Linked DNA regions of Elephas maximus indicus. The protein of the gene in region 2 interacts with the protein of the main gene of each other region in a pairwise test. Links are inferred from orthologs where the notes say so. Each region holds a gene or a part of one and is shown on either strand. Other genes may lie near its edges. The genes, in order: SSC5D, NECAB2 and KANSL1.

What was found.
Region 1: the proteins of NECAB2 (region 2) and SSC5D interact in binary tests that used the Homo sapiens proteins (3 or more experiments, as listed by UniProt). The two-hybrid records come from large-scale screens. The link is inferred for Elephas maximus indicus from reciprocal best matches to the Homo sapiens genes NECAB2 and SSC5D.
Region 3: the proteins of NECAB2 (region 2) and KANSL1 interact in binary tests that used the Homo sapiens proteins (3 or more experiments, as listed by UniProt). The two-hybrid records come from large-scale screens. The link is inferred for Elephas maximus indicus from reciprocal best matches to the Homo sapiens genes NECAB2 and KANSL1.

What each region holds. Positions count from the first base shown.
Region 1 is NC_064829.1:91,527,552-91,532,443, reverse strand, and holds the start of SSC5D (soluble scavenger receptor cysteine-rich domain-containing protein SSC5D), read left to right. Parts: upstream 1-1,681; 5' UTR 1,682-1,797; coding exon 1,798-1,822; intron 1,823-2,329; coding exon 2,330-2,356; intron 2,357-2,669; coding exon 2,670-2,978; intron 2,979-3,513; coding exon 3,514-3,627; intron 3,628-3,814; coding exon 3,815-3,934; intron 3,935-4,584; coding exon 4,585-4,892. Other genes in the region: NAT14 (probable N-acetyltransferase 14), read left to right, coding at 1-155.
Region 2 is NC_064839.1:49,959,483-49,964,374, forward strand, and holds the start of NECAB2 (N-terminal EF-hand calcium-binding protein 2), read left to right. Parts: upstream 1-1,720; coding exon 1,721-1,939; intron 1,940-4,892. UniProt on the Homo sapiens protein: May act as a signaling scaffold protein that senses intracellular calcium.
Region 3 is NC_064837.1:52,967,803-52,972,694, reverse strand, and holds the start of KANSL1 (KAT8 regulatory NSL complex subunit 1), read left to right. Parts: upstream 1-1,592; 5' UTR 1,593-1,622; intron 1,623-3,183; 5' UTR 3,184-3,325; intron 3,326-4,892. UniProt on the Homo sapiens protein: Non-catalytic component of the NSL histone acetyltransferase complex, a multiprotein complex that mediates histone H4 acetylation at 'Lys-5'- and 'Lys-8' (H4K5ac and H4K8ac) at transcription start sites and promotes transcription initiation.

The DNA.
Region 1 (4,892 bases), on a different chromosome or scaffold from region 2:
GGGGCATGGGTGAGCCTCGGGCCCGTCTTGTGGTCCCGGTGGCTGTGGCCGCCTGGGGGGTGGCAGGGATGTTGGAGGGCTGTGGGTACCAGGCTGAGGGGGGCTGGGGCTGCATGGGCTACATGCTAGTGCGGGAGTTCAGCAAAGAACTGTGACTCACCTGCCCAAGGAGAGCTGGGTCTGGGTGGGAAACCAGCATTTAGTGAGCATCTACTGTGTGCCAGGAAGGTTCACTCCACTCTGTCCACTGCCCAATGTGGGTAGTGTTTGGACTTTGGTAGTGTGTGAACTTCTGAGAGTGGAATCCCTCCTTTCCACTCTTGGCTCTCTCTTGGGAGCCAACAAAGCTCAGCCTGTCCAACCCTCTGCCTCAGATCCAGCCTGCACTGAGAAATCTCCCCCCCTCCCATCTGTGCTACAGGCCTGGAAGAGAGATTGGGAGGGGAGAATGAGCAAGTATGCCCCCTAAGAGTGAGGCTTAGCAGCAGGGGCATGCTTCAATGGGGGTTTCCTGAGCATGCGTTGGGGTTTGAGGCCTGTGATTGGAGGGGACAGGGCTGCAGAGTGGGTGGGGAAGGTTGGTGGGGTTGAGCAGAGCCTTTGCAGGGAAGGGCTGTCTGCATCTCGGGGAGCCTGGTGGGGACTGGGGTGGTGGGGGGAGGTGCAGGGCTGCCAGGGCTGGACTGTCTGGGAAGCTGAGAACTGAGAGCAGTGGGCGGGCAGCATCCCCTCCAGCCTTCCCTTCAGACCCATCTGGTTTTTTACACTCATTTGTTAATAAAGCCCAAAACTGCTGTGTGCCCTACTCTGTCTCTGATGCCTTTTCCAGTCTGTCTTCAGAGCCCCCCTTCTGTCTGGCTCCTCCTTCCCCAAGTCGACATGAATTGTTGGTTGGGGGGGAGGGTGGAGGCTGCACCGGGAGAAGGGGAGGCAATGAGCTCACAGCGGCTCAGTCCCTGCCAGCCCTTCTGACTCACGAGCCCCATTACCGAATTTTTTCCACCTCACAGCTGCCTGGTGCAGAGAAAGAGAGAGAGCGTATATGTGTGTGAGTGTGTGGAGTTCTCACTCCCCCCACCCAAACCTTGGCCAAAACTGAGGTCTCCCCATACCCCTCCACTTCCCATTTCTTACTCATTAGAGTCATCTATATGCAACCAACCCTCCCCACAGATGCAGGAATAGGGATTTTGCATTCAAACCTACCAGGAGTAGGGGCCAGGGAGGAGGGAACTTGCTCAGTCTCCTTTCCTAATCTAGGAAGTCCTTCCTGGTGTCTGGCTGCAAGCCTGCTAGCTGCACCCAGCCCCAGATGTACCTGGCTCAACCTCCATCCCCTCCACTGTGGTCTGACCATCTTCCCAGGCTGGACAAGAGAGGAGGCAGGAGGGGGCTCCCCATCTCTGCCAGGCCCCTACATCCACCTCCATGCTGGCCCTGCCTGCAGCCTGCCACCCCAGGTCTCTAAGCCCAGGTCATTACTGGTTTAAAGCCTGGTTGGTTCCCGTGTGGGTGTTTGCAGCTTGGACACCCTCCCTCCCTCCCGCCCGCCCGCCCGCCAGCCCGCCAGCCACCCCCCTTCTCTCCACACCCCAGCCGCTGGCCAGCTCCCTCCCTGCCCCCCGCTGTCCCCTGCCGCCTCCTCGCAGCCTCTCTCTTCCTTCTGGAAGAGCGTCCAGCCCCTGCCTGCTCCTCCCTGGGTCCAGGGCGCCTCCAAGGCACTTCCCTCCTGTGGCTGCCTCCTCCTCCTTCCCCCCCTTCCCCTTTCACCCTGTCCCTGCCCCGGCCTCTGCAAACATGAGGGTCCTGGCCTGCCTCCTCGGTGAGTGACCCGTCCTCCTAAGGGACTCAGGGGTCCTGCGTCCTTGCCCTCTGACCCCTTCATCATCAAGTTCAGGGACTCAGACTTCCAGGACCCCAGTCCCTTGAGGATCCATCCTTCTTCGGGATGCCCAGTCTCTCCCTCCTGGGGACCCAAGGGACCTGGCCCCTCCCCTTGGCCCTGACCCTGGGGTGGGGACCACTCAGCCATGTGACCTTCAGCCAACCCCCTAGGGGAACACAAAGGACCTGGTCTCTAGCCCTGATTTCAGGCGCCAGGACCTGACTCTGATTCCAGCCCTCTGCAGTGGGGTTCCAGGTCTGAGATATGAGGACTCCGAGCGCACGCGCGTGCGGGTGTGCGCGTGTGCTTGTGTGTGTGTGTGTGTGTGTATACACGTGCGCACGCGTATTGGGATATTCCCAACAAAGGTCCCGCTATGCAGAAAGGACCCCTCTTGGGTGGGGCCTGCCCCTCACTCTTTCCCACCCGTCAAACCCCTTGCAGCCGCTCTAATGGGGATCCAGGCTGTTGGTAAGTCCCCAAACTCTTCTGCCATCTAGTCTTGCCGAGCTTCCAGCCTGCCCTATCGGCTTCACTTCATCCTCCACCAAAGCCCTGGCCACCCCCATCTCCACGTGACCTCTTGACTGGCCCTCCGGGGAACCACTCCCCCTGGGGACCCAGGTGTCCAACCTCTTCCCACCTCTCTCCTGAGTGCCCAGTTGTCTGGGTCCCCCAGTGACCAGCTGGCTTCCCAATTGTCCCCTGCATCCCCTACCCTCATCCTGCCCCAGGGCCTTGGGAGTGTCTCTCCCCGGGGTCAGAGCCTCCCCTCCGTCCCCAGAGCGGCTGCACCTGGCTGACGGCCCCCATGAGTGCGCTGGCCGGCTGGAGGTGTGGCATGCAGGGCGCTGGGGGACAGTGTGTGACGACGGCTGGGACCTGCGGGACGCTGCTGTGGCCTGCCGGGAGCTGGGCTGCGGGGGTGCGCTGGCTGCCCCTGGAGGTGCCTTCTTTGGGGAGGGCGCCGGGCCAGTGTGGCTCAGTGAGCTGGCCTGCCGGGGCAGCGAGGGGCGGCTGGGCTTGTGCCCCCACCGTGGCTGGAAGGCCCACATCTGCTCTCATGAGGAGGACGCAGGCGTTGTCTGTGCAGGTGAGGAGGGCTCCTTGGCTCTAAATGTCATCTGCCAGGTGAGGAGTCCCTGGCCCAGGGGTTATCTGCCAGGTGATGAGTACCTGGCCCCAGCTGACTTCTGCCAAGTGAAGGGTCCCTGGCCCAGGTGTCATCTGCAGGTGAGGGGTCCCTGGGCCCAGGTGTCATCTGTGCAGGTGAGGGGTCCCTGGGCCCAGGTGTCATCGGTGCATGTGAGGGGTCCCTGGCTCAGGGGTCATCTGTGCAGGTGAGGGGTCCCTGGTCCTTGTTTGGGGCAGCCTGTTCTCCAGCTCCTTCAGAGATGACCCAGGGACCCAAGTCCTCAGCCCCAGTAACTGAGGGTCCAGGAGTCCAGATCTCCAATCTCTAATCCCCTCAAAAGCCACTATCTCCCTCAGGGACCCCCACTTTACAAGTGGTAGCTTTGGAGCCCTGGAGGACAAGGTAATGGGCATCCCAGCCCCTGCTGCTCTCTCAGGGACGCTGTGCCCTCTTTACTGTCCCCTCCCCCTCACAGTTTCTGTTCTCTCCATAGGCCAGCGTGTGGCAGCAAATTCCAGGGAATCGGCCCCTCTTGTGGGTGGGGATCTGTGGCTGGGGCTGTCCAGGGAGTTCAGTCCAGGGCCTGAGGTGCCCCCCACGACTTCTGGTGAGTCCCAGGGCTCACCAACTAGCCCCGCCCCATGCTCTCCTGGCCTCACTGTGGATGGTCTCCTCCCAGCTCTGGGAAGTCCTCCTTGTGCCCCAGCTATATTTGGAGGCTGAGAAGGTATAGCCCAGTCCCCCAGGTGGACAGAAGTTTGAGCTCCTGACCTCATGGCTGTCTTCTCCCTTAGTCCCCCGCCTGGTAGGAAGCTCCCAGAACAGTGGTGGCTCCCGGAAGAAGAGCCCCCGGCCACCCAAGCAGGCCAAGTCCACCAGGGCTCCTGTGCTGACCACCGGGGCTGCCCGCCAAGGTAAGTCCTTGCAGGTCCCCCAAACTGGATGCCCTAGGCCCAGCTTCCGACACCCCTTGGGGATTCAGGAGGCCCAGCCCTGTCTCTCCCTCTCCCCACCACCTGCCCATTCATTTAAGTGACCTAAGTGTCTGACTTTTGGCACCCAGGTACCACCCCCATTCCTGGCTCTCTCCTTAATGGGCAGGTCTCATGCAGGACCTGATTCTGTCACTGGACAAGCCACTGCCCTCTCTGGGCCTCAGTCTCCCCAGATAAGAAATGAGGGGGTTGAATGTGCTTATCCCAAACTGTGGTCAGACAAAACCCCCAGGTCCTTATTGTCCTCCTAGGCCCCTCACAGTCCTTCTGAGTCCCTCACTATCCCTCTAGACCCCTCCCTGCCCCCCAGGCCCCTCCCCGTTCCCACAGGCCCCACCCTGTCCCCCCAGGTCCCTCCCCATTCCTCCAGACCCCTCACCATCTCCCCAGACCCCTTTCTGTCCCCCCACACCCCTCCCTATCCCCCAGGCCCTTACCTGTCCCCTCAGACCCTTCATTGTCCCCCCAGGCTCCTCACTGCCTCCTCACTCCCTTCTCATCCCCTCAGGTCCCCTGCAGTCTCCCCTGTCCCTTACTGTCCCTTTCCCACCCACTCCTCCATCCCCTAGAACGGTTGCGGTTGCGGCTGGTCTCAGGTACCCACAGCTGTGTGGGCAGGCTGGAGGTGTGGCATGCGGGACGCTGGGGGACAGTGTGTGACGACGGCTGGGACCTGAGAGACGCTGCTGTGGCCTGCCGGGAGCTGGGCTGTGGGGGGGCGCTGGCTGCCCCTGGAGGTGCCCGATTTGGCCCAGGCTCGGGGCCCGTGTGGATGGACGATGTGGGGTGTGGAGGCGGAGAGCAGGCCCTCCGTGACTGTCCTCGCAGCCCCTGGGGTCGGAGCAACTGTGACCACAGCGAGGACGCAGGGCTGGTC
Region 2 (4,892 bases):
AAAATACCATGGCTTGGGTCAGGTGCAGCTTAGTCCTCAAAGTGACATCTTTGCTTTTTAACACTTTAAAGAGGTCTTTTGCAGCACATTTGCCCAATGCAATATGTCATTTGATTTCTTGACTGCTGCTTCCATGGGCCCCAAGTGTGTGTGTGGTGGGGGGCAATTGTCAGGTGCAAGCAGGTGAGGGGGCAGCATGTTAGAAGATTTGGGGGAGGGTGTGTTCCAGGACTGATGTGCTGTGGAGGTCTTTGCAGCCCCTGCCTACATTCCCTGCCCCTCTCCCCGTCACACTGTCCTCTCAGTTCCTCCTGCCTACCATGCCCAAGCCTGCCACAGGGCCTTTGCACAGGCTGGTCTCTAGCCCATGACTTTTTCCTCCTCTCTTTAACTCCTTCTCTTCCTTTGAGTCACTTGGCATGAGGGTCACTTCCTCTAGGAAGCCTCTGCTGACACAAACCCCTGTTGGTGGTTCTCGTGGCCCATGGCACCACCACTTCAGAGCATCTCAGTTTCAGTTGTTCATTTATTCGTGGAATCATTCCAGTGTATGGCTCTGCACCAGGGGGGTGTTGTGCCCCGGGGTTGGATCCTGGTGCCTAGCACGAGACCTAGCACCTGGCAGGTATTTCTTTTTCTTTTTAAAAATTTTTATTGTGCTTCAAGTGAAAGTTTACAAATCAACTCAGTCTCTCATACAAAAATATATATACACCTTGCTATGTAGTGCTCTCCCCCTAATGAGACAGCACACTCCTCTCCACTCTGTATTTCCTGTGTCCATTGAGCTGACTCCTGTTCCCCTCTGCCTTCTCACCTTCCTTCCAGACAGGAGCTGCCCACATAGTCTCATGTGTCTCCTTGAGCCAAGAAGCTCACTCCTCACCAGGATCATTTTCTGTCTTACAGTCCAGTCCAATCCCTGTCTGAAGAGTTGGTTTTGGGAATGGTTCCTATCTTGGGCTAATGGAAGGTCTGGGGACCGTGACGTCCGGGTTCCCTCTAGTCTCAGTCAGACCGTTAAGTCTGGTCTTTTTGCGAGAATTTGAGGTCTGCATCCCACTGTTCTCCTGCTCCCTCAGGGAGTCTCTGCTGTGTGGCAGGTGTTTCTTAATGAATCCTTTGAGTGGGTGGATGAGTGGGAGTGGGAGAGGAGGAAGGTGTCCTGGGGCGTAGATTGGTTCTGGGCCTGTGTAATGGCAGAGGGAGGTCTGGGGGGCGTGCAATCCCTTGGAGGGCAAGGGTGGGTGCCAGGGAAGTGATGGGGCGGGGGAGGCCTGAGGCGTGTGAACGCTGAACCTAGAGCCGGCACCAGCAGAGGGCGCTGCGGGCTCGCCGGACACAGCGCTCCGGCCCCTGCGGCGGCGCCACGGGGGGAGGAGGGGCTCATGGGAAGGGGGCTCCGGAGGGGGGGCAGCCCCCAGGGACCCCCTTCCAGCAGCCAGACACCCCCGCGCCTCCTCCGCTGCAGCCCCCTCCCCGGCCTGCCGGGGTCCAGCCAACCGGCCCGCGCCCCCAGGCAGCCCCCGCCGCAGCGCCCGGCGGGGTGGGGGTGGTGGACCTGGCACGTGGCGCGGGGTCCGGGCCCCCCCGTCCCCGCCCGGCTGTCCCGAGTGTCCGCGGCCGCGGACCGAGAAGGGAGGCGGGGCCCGGCGGCGGGCGGCGCCGGGAGGGTCGCGCGGGCGGCGGGCGGGGGTCGGCGGGCTCCGGTGGCGGAGCGATGTGCGAGCGGGCGGCGCGCCTGTGCAGGGCCGGCGCGCACAGGCTGCTCCGGGAGCCGCCGCCGCAGGGCCGGGCGCTGGGCGGGCTGCTGCGCTGGGTGGGCGCCAGGATGGGCGAGCCTCGGGCGCCGCTGGCCCCCGACGCTCCCACCACCCCCGACGCCGACCCCCGGCCCGGCCCCGCCGCGCTGCGCGGGGGCACCGCCGTCATCCTGGACGTGAGTACGCGCGCCCCGACCCGCCGGAGCCCCTGCGGGTCCCGGCTGGACCTCGCGTCCCTCTCGGAGGGGACCCAGACAAGGACCTCCGTTCCTGCTGGGACCCCGCGCCCCCTCCTCTCTAGGGGGACCCCGACACGGAACCCTTTTCCTGCCTGGACCCCCGTGGCCCTCCTCTCGGGGGACCCCGAAACGAAACTCGGTTCCTGCCGGGACCCTGTATCCCTCCTCTCTGGGGGAACTCCGTTCCTGCGAGGACCCCGCGTCCCTTCTCTCGAGGGAGGAGAGCCGACACGGACTCCCGGTTCCTGCCGGACCTAGAGCCCCCCTTCTTGGGGGAGACGCCCTGCCTGCTGGGACTCTGCGCCTCGTTCTCTCAGGAAAGGGACCTCAACACGGAGCCCCTTGTTCCCCGAGACCCCTCCTCTCGAGGAATGGCCCCTGACACGGACCCCCTGTTCCCGCCAGGACTCAGAGCCCCCTCTTCTCTGAGCAGGGAACTCGTATCCATTCCCCTCGGCAAACCGAGGCAGGACCCTCACGCGGCCTCTCCGCTCCCCACAGCGTGAACCCCCCAGCCTCCCCATGTCCCTGACTGGTCTGCACCCCGAGTCCTCTCATCTCCCTGGACAGGAGTCCCCTTCACCCTGTGTCCGCTCCTACCTGGAGCGGGGTTTCCTCCTTGCCCCCTCCCTCCACTTCTCCGCTTCCCCACCTTCGCAGAGCTGGGGCCCTTGAACCTCCCTCCCGGACCTGGCCACCTCACTAATTTTGTCCTAGGCAATCCCCGATCCTTTTCCCAGACCTACACTCCACCTTTTACCCTGTCGCTTCCCGGAAAGGAGCCCCGGCCACCCCCAACCCGTCTCCTTTCTATCCCAGTAGCTACTTTTCTGAGACCCCCACAACCCCCAGCTTGGCCCCTCTTTCTTCCCGACGCAGGGCCCCCCAGCCCAGTTGTGTCATTCCTAATCAAAGACCCTTTTCCCCAACACAACCCCCTTGAAAGTGAAGCCCCTCCCCACCTAGCCTCTCTTTTCCGTTGATGCAGAACCACTTCCACCCGAGCCTGGACCCCTCCAGGGCTTCCATTCCCCGACCAGCCACTCTACTCCAAGCACCCAGCTGCCCTCCATTCCTGTCTCCACTCGTGCCCTTCCCTCACGTACCCTTCCCTCACGAGAGCCCTGTGCACTTCAGGAACCCCAGACTCATTCCTCACTCCCTCTCCCATGCAGTCTGGGAACCCATCCCCCTTGCCCCCATGGGGGAGGGAGGATTCCTCAGGATGGATGCCTGCTGGTGGGGAGCTTCCCCCTGTGGAGCATCTTGGAGGAATGGAGGGGCTTCATCAGAGGTCTCCCCCACCTCCAGTGACAGCATGGGGATGCCAACTTGTGTGTCCCAGTGAGGGCCCTGTGAGGTGCGTGGCTGGTGGGGGGTGGGGGTACCTCTGAGTGTATGAAGAGGTGGGTTGTGTTTCTGGGAGTGTGTGTGTGCGTGCACCCCTTTTTCTTCCCTCTGTCTCTCCTGGAACCTGTAGCCAGGTCTGGGCGAGGAGGGCTGGGCAGGGAAGGGACAGCAGGACTGTGAGTGCTTCTGTCTCTGGTGCCCCAAGCATACACTCAAACAGCCAGACACACACACACTCCAACAGCTGGAGCTTCTTTTCCCAGACCCCCAGAGCCGCTGGGCTTTGTCTATACTCCTCCTGATTCCAGTTCTCTGATGGTGATGATGGTGGGCTCTGAGCCTCCTCCGTTTGCTCATTTGAGAAATGGGGTGACTGAGCGGGCCTTCCCAGAGTGCCCTTGCAGACTCCCGGAGCTGACATCACTGGCTGTCACTCACTTGACGAGTCATGCCCAGAGCAGGTGCCTGCCCAGTGCCAGGCTCCAGGGGAGGCCTGGGACCCCCATCCTTGGGGGCTCGCACTGTTGGGAGGAAGGGTGTGAGGTGCCTAGGCTGATTCTGGAGGAGGGTTTGGGGGCGTCTGATCCCCCTTCAGCCTCAGTCACTGTGATTCCTGCTGGTCCCCAGGTGTCAGGGTTCAGTAAGGGGAAGGGGCGACCAGCCCCCATGGGGCAGCAGGGCGCATGTAAGCCCCCCCTCCAGCTGCTTCTTCAGCCTGGTACAGCCCCTGTGATGATAAAGGACAGTGCTCCAGGGATGGAGGGTGGCAGGGCCAGCTGGCTGGTGCCCCAGGGCAAGGAGGGAGGTGGGACAGCCAGAGGCCCCAGCCTCCTCCCCGCCTCTCTTGAGCACCACTTACCTACCCAGTCTAACAAGCTGATTAAGCTCAGAGGAAACTGAGGCTCAGGGATCGGCAGCAACCTGCCTGAGGCCCCTATTTTTTTCCCAGATCTGGGAAGTTAGGGTCTGCCCCTTCCCTGCAGTCGCACTCAGACATTAGTGTGCAAATAAGATCCTGAGGATTTGGATAAAAAGTAGGTTTTGACTTAGTGGGGCCAGGTGGGCCTGAGACTCTGCATTTCTAACAGGCTTCCAGGGGTACCCAGTGCTGCGGGCCTGACTCATTTCCAGGTGGAGCAGGTCTCTAGCACACAGGTTTCAACAATGGCCACACCCAGGAAGCCTTAAAACTCAAGACACCTGGGTCCCACCAGCGAGGCAGGGCGGGGGTGCAGAGGCTTGCAAAGCCCACCAGGCGATGGTCGATGGTCGCGTGTGGGAGGGATGGGCATCCCTGGCCTTGGTGGATGGGGCCAGGGCTCTGCCTCGGTGCGGATGTCGCCGGAAAGGCCGATGAAAAAGAGATTCAGTCTTCCCCAGCCGAGCAGAGGCTTTTCTCACAGAAGCCCTCAGGTTTGGGAATTGGGCTGCTCCTTTTCCCTGCCTGGTGCAGCCAGAACAGCCTGCCCTGGTTTCTGAGCCCCTGGCACCTGTGCCACCTACTCCCCACGCAGAAAATCACTCGTCCGCCTCCCCCCCC
Region 3 (4,892 bases), on a different chromosome or scaffold from region 2:
AGCAGCCCTATAGGACAGAGTAGAACTGCCTCATGGAGTTTCCAAGGAGTGCCTGGTGGATTCGAACTGCTGACCTTTTGGTTAGCAGCCGTAGCTCTTAAACACTACACCAGCTCAAAATTATCATGGTCATTAGATCTGCCATTAGCTTTTATTATTTAATATATTGATAAAAAGTATGTATTACTATATCACACTTTAAAAATATTTTGATAACTATATTTCAATATTTGGTGTCTCATGAATTCTTATGTATATTTTTTATGCACTTAAAAACATTGTTCTGAGACCAAAGGGTCCATATGTTTCACCAGATTGCCAAGGGGGTCCATGGCATAAAAAAGTTAAGAACCCCTGCTTTATGGGTATTTTTTTTGGCTTTCATTCTTACTGTCACAGGGTTACCAAAGCCTGAAGAGGATCACTGAAGAGAGCTTCAAGATCTGTGAGCTTCTCATAGATTTTATTATCCTGTTTTTCCAGAGGCCCTTTCTCCCTTAACTTTCACAACTCTTCCATATTCTGTTTCTCTTACCTCACTGACCCTCTGTTTCTTTTCCAAATGTCTGACTTTAACTGTTGGGTATCTTTTTATACTTTGGTGAGTTTATCCATCAGCATGTCATTGACCACTATATTTAGGCAGAGAACCCTAAATCTCTAGTTCAGATTGCTCACCCTTTTGTAAATTCCTTAACTCCAAGTGCCTCTGGACACCTCCACTTGGTTTTACTGCTTCTATCTGGAACCGAACATATTAATAACTAAGTTCCTCCCCAAATCTGTATCTTGTCCCAATTTTCCTGAACAACCACCTTGCCTGTTCCCCTGATTTTGCGATCATAGAATTATTTAAAAATTTAAATCAGTTTTTTAAAATTGGTAATCTTTGTGAATAGCACAAAAATCAGGATATGCAGTGAAAAATATAAGTCTTTCTCCCACCTGGTTCCGCAGGCACTCAGTTCCCCTCCTAGAAGGTAACCACTGTTACCAGATCTTAGAGTGATTTTGGATTCCTTTTTATAGGGGCTATATCTCAAGTCCTCTGTCTCAGAGATGTGTGCCCTTTTCTCTCCAGGCCCTCATGACCTTATATTTTGTTAACTATACATATGTATATAAATATTTATATGTGTATATGCAGTGGGTTTATATGTTTATATACATGTATAAAATCTCTCCCTGTGGCTTTCCGGCCTCGAGTTTTCATCACGTCGCTTCCTGGATGAAAAATCTACCGGGGTGGGGGGCAGGGGCTGGGGGTGATGGAGAAGAGGACAGAGAGGGGACTTAGGTAGGGGGTCAGAGTGGCAGACGGTTGGGAAGCTCGACAGGGATTCCCTTAGCCTATTCTTCCCACCTCAGGCCCCTTTCCAGTCCCCTAGTCCAAAAGCCTCCAGTTTCCAAGAGCTGAGGCAGAGACAGAGACAGAGAGATATACAGAGACAGAGACGCCGAGGCACCAGCATCCCTCTCCCCCTTCCGTCCAGCCCCGCCGCTCTGACGGACACCCGCCATCAGCCAATGGCGCCCACGATGTGTCCCGGAAGGGCCAATGAGAGACGGAGGAGGGCGAAAGATTCCCCGCCCCCACTTCTAGGCTTGGTTGAGCCGTGCAGGTAGGTCCGGGGCTGGGGGAGCTGCCGTTGGCACTGGTGCCCAGGGGGGTGGGGGCACGAGTGGGTAGGGGTGATGGTGGGGAAGGGGAGGCGGCCCCGACGGGGAGAGCCCGAGGGGGCGGCCCGGCCAGGAGGCGGGGAGCCGAAGGGCCCTGGGAGCGGGCGCCGCCGAGGGCCCTGGAAGCGGCTGGGCTGGGGGAGTGGGGACGCGTGTGTGGGGCACACGGACCCCCGCCCTGCGCCCACCCTCAGGACTGGGCCGCGGGTCGCTGGCCGAGTGGCAGGGGAGCCTGGCTGACCGGGGGGCAGGCCGGAGCCGGGGGCAGGGGCGCCGAGCTGAGCCCAGGGCGCCAGGCCGAGCCGAGGTGGGACGGACCGACGCGGAGAGGAAGGGAAGCTGCATCCCGCGGGCCGCCCCTCCAGAAGCGAGCTGGGGAAACGGCCGGCCGCCGGTTCCCCCACCTTGAGCTCACTCCTCCCTATTCCCCCACCCCAACAATGGGTATGGGGCAGGAGGAGTCGCCCCACTGCGGGGAGGTGGGGGGGGGATTCGGTTTGGGACAAGGGTCCAAGTTGGGGGGAGGGGTGGGAACTCGGGCTCTCCCTTTTCTTTCCCCTCCTGGCTTCGAATGTGGGGATCTTGGAGGGGCGTATTAAACATACCTGAGACTTGGGGCAAGAGTCAAACTGCAGGCCCCCCCCCCCCCGCCAAAAAAAAAAATCCGATGAGCGGTGAGGAAAGTGATGCCATTTCTTCAAAGCCAGAGTGACAAACACGTACCAAGAACAAATCCACTCCAGAGGTTTTTATTTTATTTTTTATTAAAAAACGGGGATACTTTCGTCTTAGATTTTTCGAAATATATTTTAAAGAGGTGGGTGCTGTCATTTTTGTCCCTACTCGGGCCAGCCTCCATTTTAAGCTAAGCAGTAACTGGTTAAGCTGGAATTACATTCAGGCCTAGGACTTAAACAAGGATCCTACAAGAGGTCATTTAGTCCATCCTCCTGCCGCCAGGCAAAATTGTCTCCCTCCCATCATCAAAATTAAGTTGTTTGGTAGATTTTTAAAGATCTCTGGGGAAGAGGAGTCTTTTCCTTGATTGTAGTATTTTAGTCAAGAGATTTTATTTTTCAGTAGAATCAGCTCTGAAACTTAATTTAAGCCTAATAAAACTCAGAGAGGTTTTAATTTACAAAATAAAATTTAAGTGTGGTAAGGGGCTTGTAAACAACAACAACAACAACAAAAAACACAAATTATCTTTCAGTAGTGTTTATGAAGTGCCCGGGATAATCATTTTTCTCTCTGGGATTTTGGTTTTCTAATTCTTGATAAACAACAACAACAAAATGTTTTACTTATTTTATCTAGGATATGTGTATATGTACAGATAGATACATAAACCTACACATTTGCCCTTTCCAAAAGGAGACTGACTGTTTTGTACATCTTTTAGGATGGTGACGCAAGTAGTACTTCAAATCTCTGTCCTGGTAGCTTAAACTATTTGCTTATTGATTTATTTTTTTTAGTCTAAATGTAAGTTCTCTCTTTCAGATAACTTCTTGAAACAAAAAATTTTCCTACCTGCTCATACTTGGTGACTTCAAGGGAATTACTAAGACTCCCTTCTTGCTCATTTCTGAGTATTGTCTGAACTATTCCTGACACTATGAATGCTATTTGGATGCCTCTTAAGGTAAGACATGTTATTTTTTTCATTAATGGCCTCATTTATTTTCTTTAGAATTGAGAACATTTTACTTCTTGAATTTGTTATTCAGCTCTTTACCTGGCACTCCTCTCCCCTCAAAAATTATTGTGTTTGCCTTCTAGGAACTGATTGGTCACTCCCTTTGTATTGCTACTGGTCTTGATTACTGGTGTTAAAATGTTGATGAAGTCCTCAGATTAACTTCCATTATAATGGTTTGTTCAATATTTTAGTTTTAATTATGACAACCCACATAGTTGTAAAATTCTGTTCCATTCCCAGCAGGATGAGCTGGCAATTCAGACATCGAGGTCCACTCTCAAACAGGTGCTTGAGAGTCATAGGTACTAGGGTGTGTCCCACTCTTGCAAATCAGCTGATTCATGTATTGCAAAAGGTGTTTCATTAACCATTGGTTTATTCTGAAACTTTATATAGTATATTAGAACATTCTAAGACTTGCTGGTCTACGTGGACAGCTCTTTTGGAGTGTACGCCTTCTGCTCCCTAGCTTTCTGCATGAAATTTTATGCTGTTTTTCTCAACAGGTAGCATTTTGTGTCAAGTTTCATCTCATGGGGTAAATGCTATTTGGACAGTGTGGGCAGAATGGTCTTCAGGTGAAAACACTCGTTGGTGTGGTTGTTCTCCACTGTCCCTTGCCTCTTTCCCACCCTTTGTGTATAGATGGCTAAAGTATTGTCCATTAAGGCTAAGCAGAGGGCAAAGCCTAAGACGTGGGGAGGAAGGACAGAGAAAAAGATAAGGAGTGATGGAGGTCCTCCACCAGTGTCCCCAGATGGCACAGGTTGCCTTCCCTGGAGCTTGATGCTAGTATAGTTAAGATCATTGTATAGTAATCTGCCTGTGGAATTCCAGGTTGATGCAGTAGGTAAATCACAGTATAAGGCAGTGTCTGTACCCTAAATATTTGGACTTGTGGAAAATCTTTAGGTAATGTAGACTGAGTGCTCATTTTCATTTATGTTCCAGCTGCTATTGGTGGATAATGAGTGCCTGTATTAGTATGAAAAAAGCCAAAGTGGCATAGTTTTTCCAGCCATTCTCTCTGTAGAGTTGGAGGGTTTGCATGGGGAGCCCAGCCAGAAGTCCTGAACCATAGTAATTGCAGGATCTTATTGTACAAGAATGTTTGTTTCTCTTCGGTACCACGTGTTTAGTGCCAGTACCTGGCATCCTCTGTGCTCTTTGGGAAGCAGACGGAAATATCAATGGCTACTAGTTCCCTAGAAACTTAAGGAAATTGGTATCAATATATATATTGAATTTCATTTTAATCACTTTGGTCTTAATTAGTGTATTAGGTATACACAGGTCTGCTTTTTTAAGATATACGATGTTTGAGATTGTACATCTAAATGTCTCTGAATTTGGGAGTGTTATAAATAATATAGTTCCACAGTTGCCCTGAAGCTGTACCAAAGGCCTGTGGCATGGCAGGAATACAAAACATAAGCAGTGCTTCATACTGTGTGAATTACCACCTGTTAACTACTTAAGAATGTAGTTATGTGGCTGCCGTAATTTATTT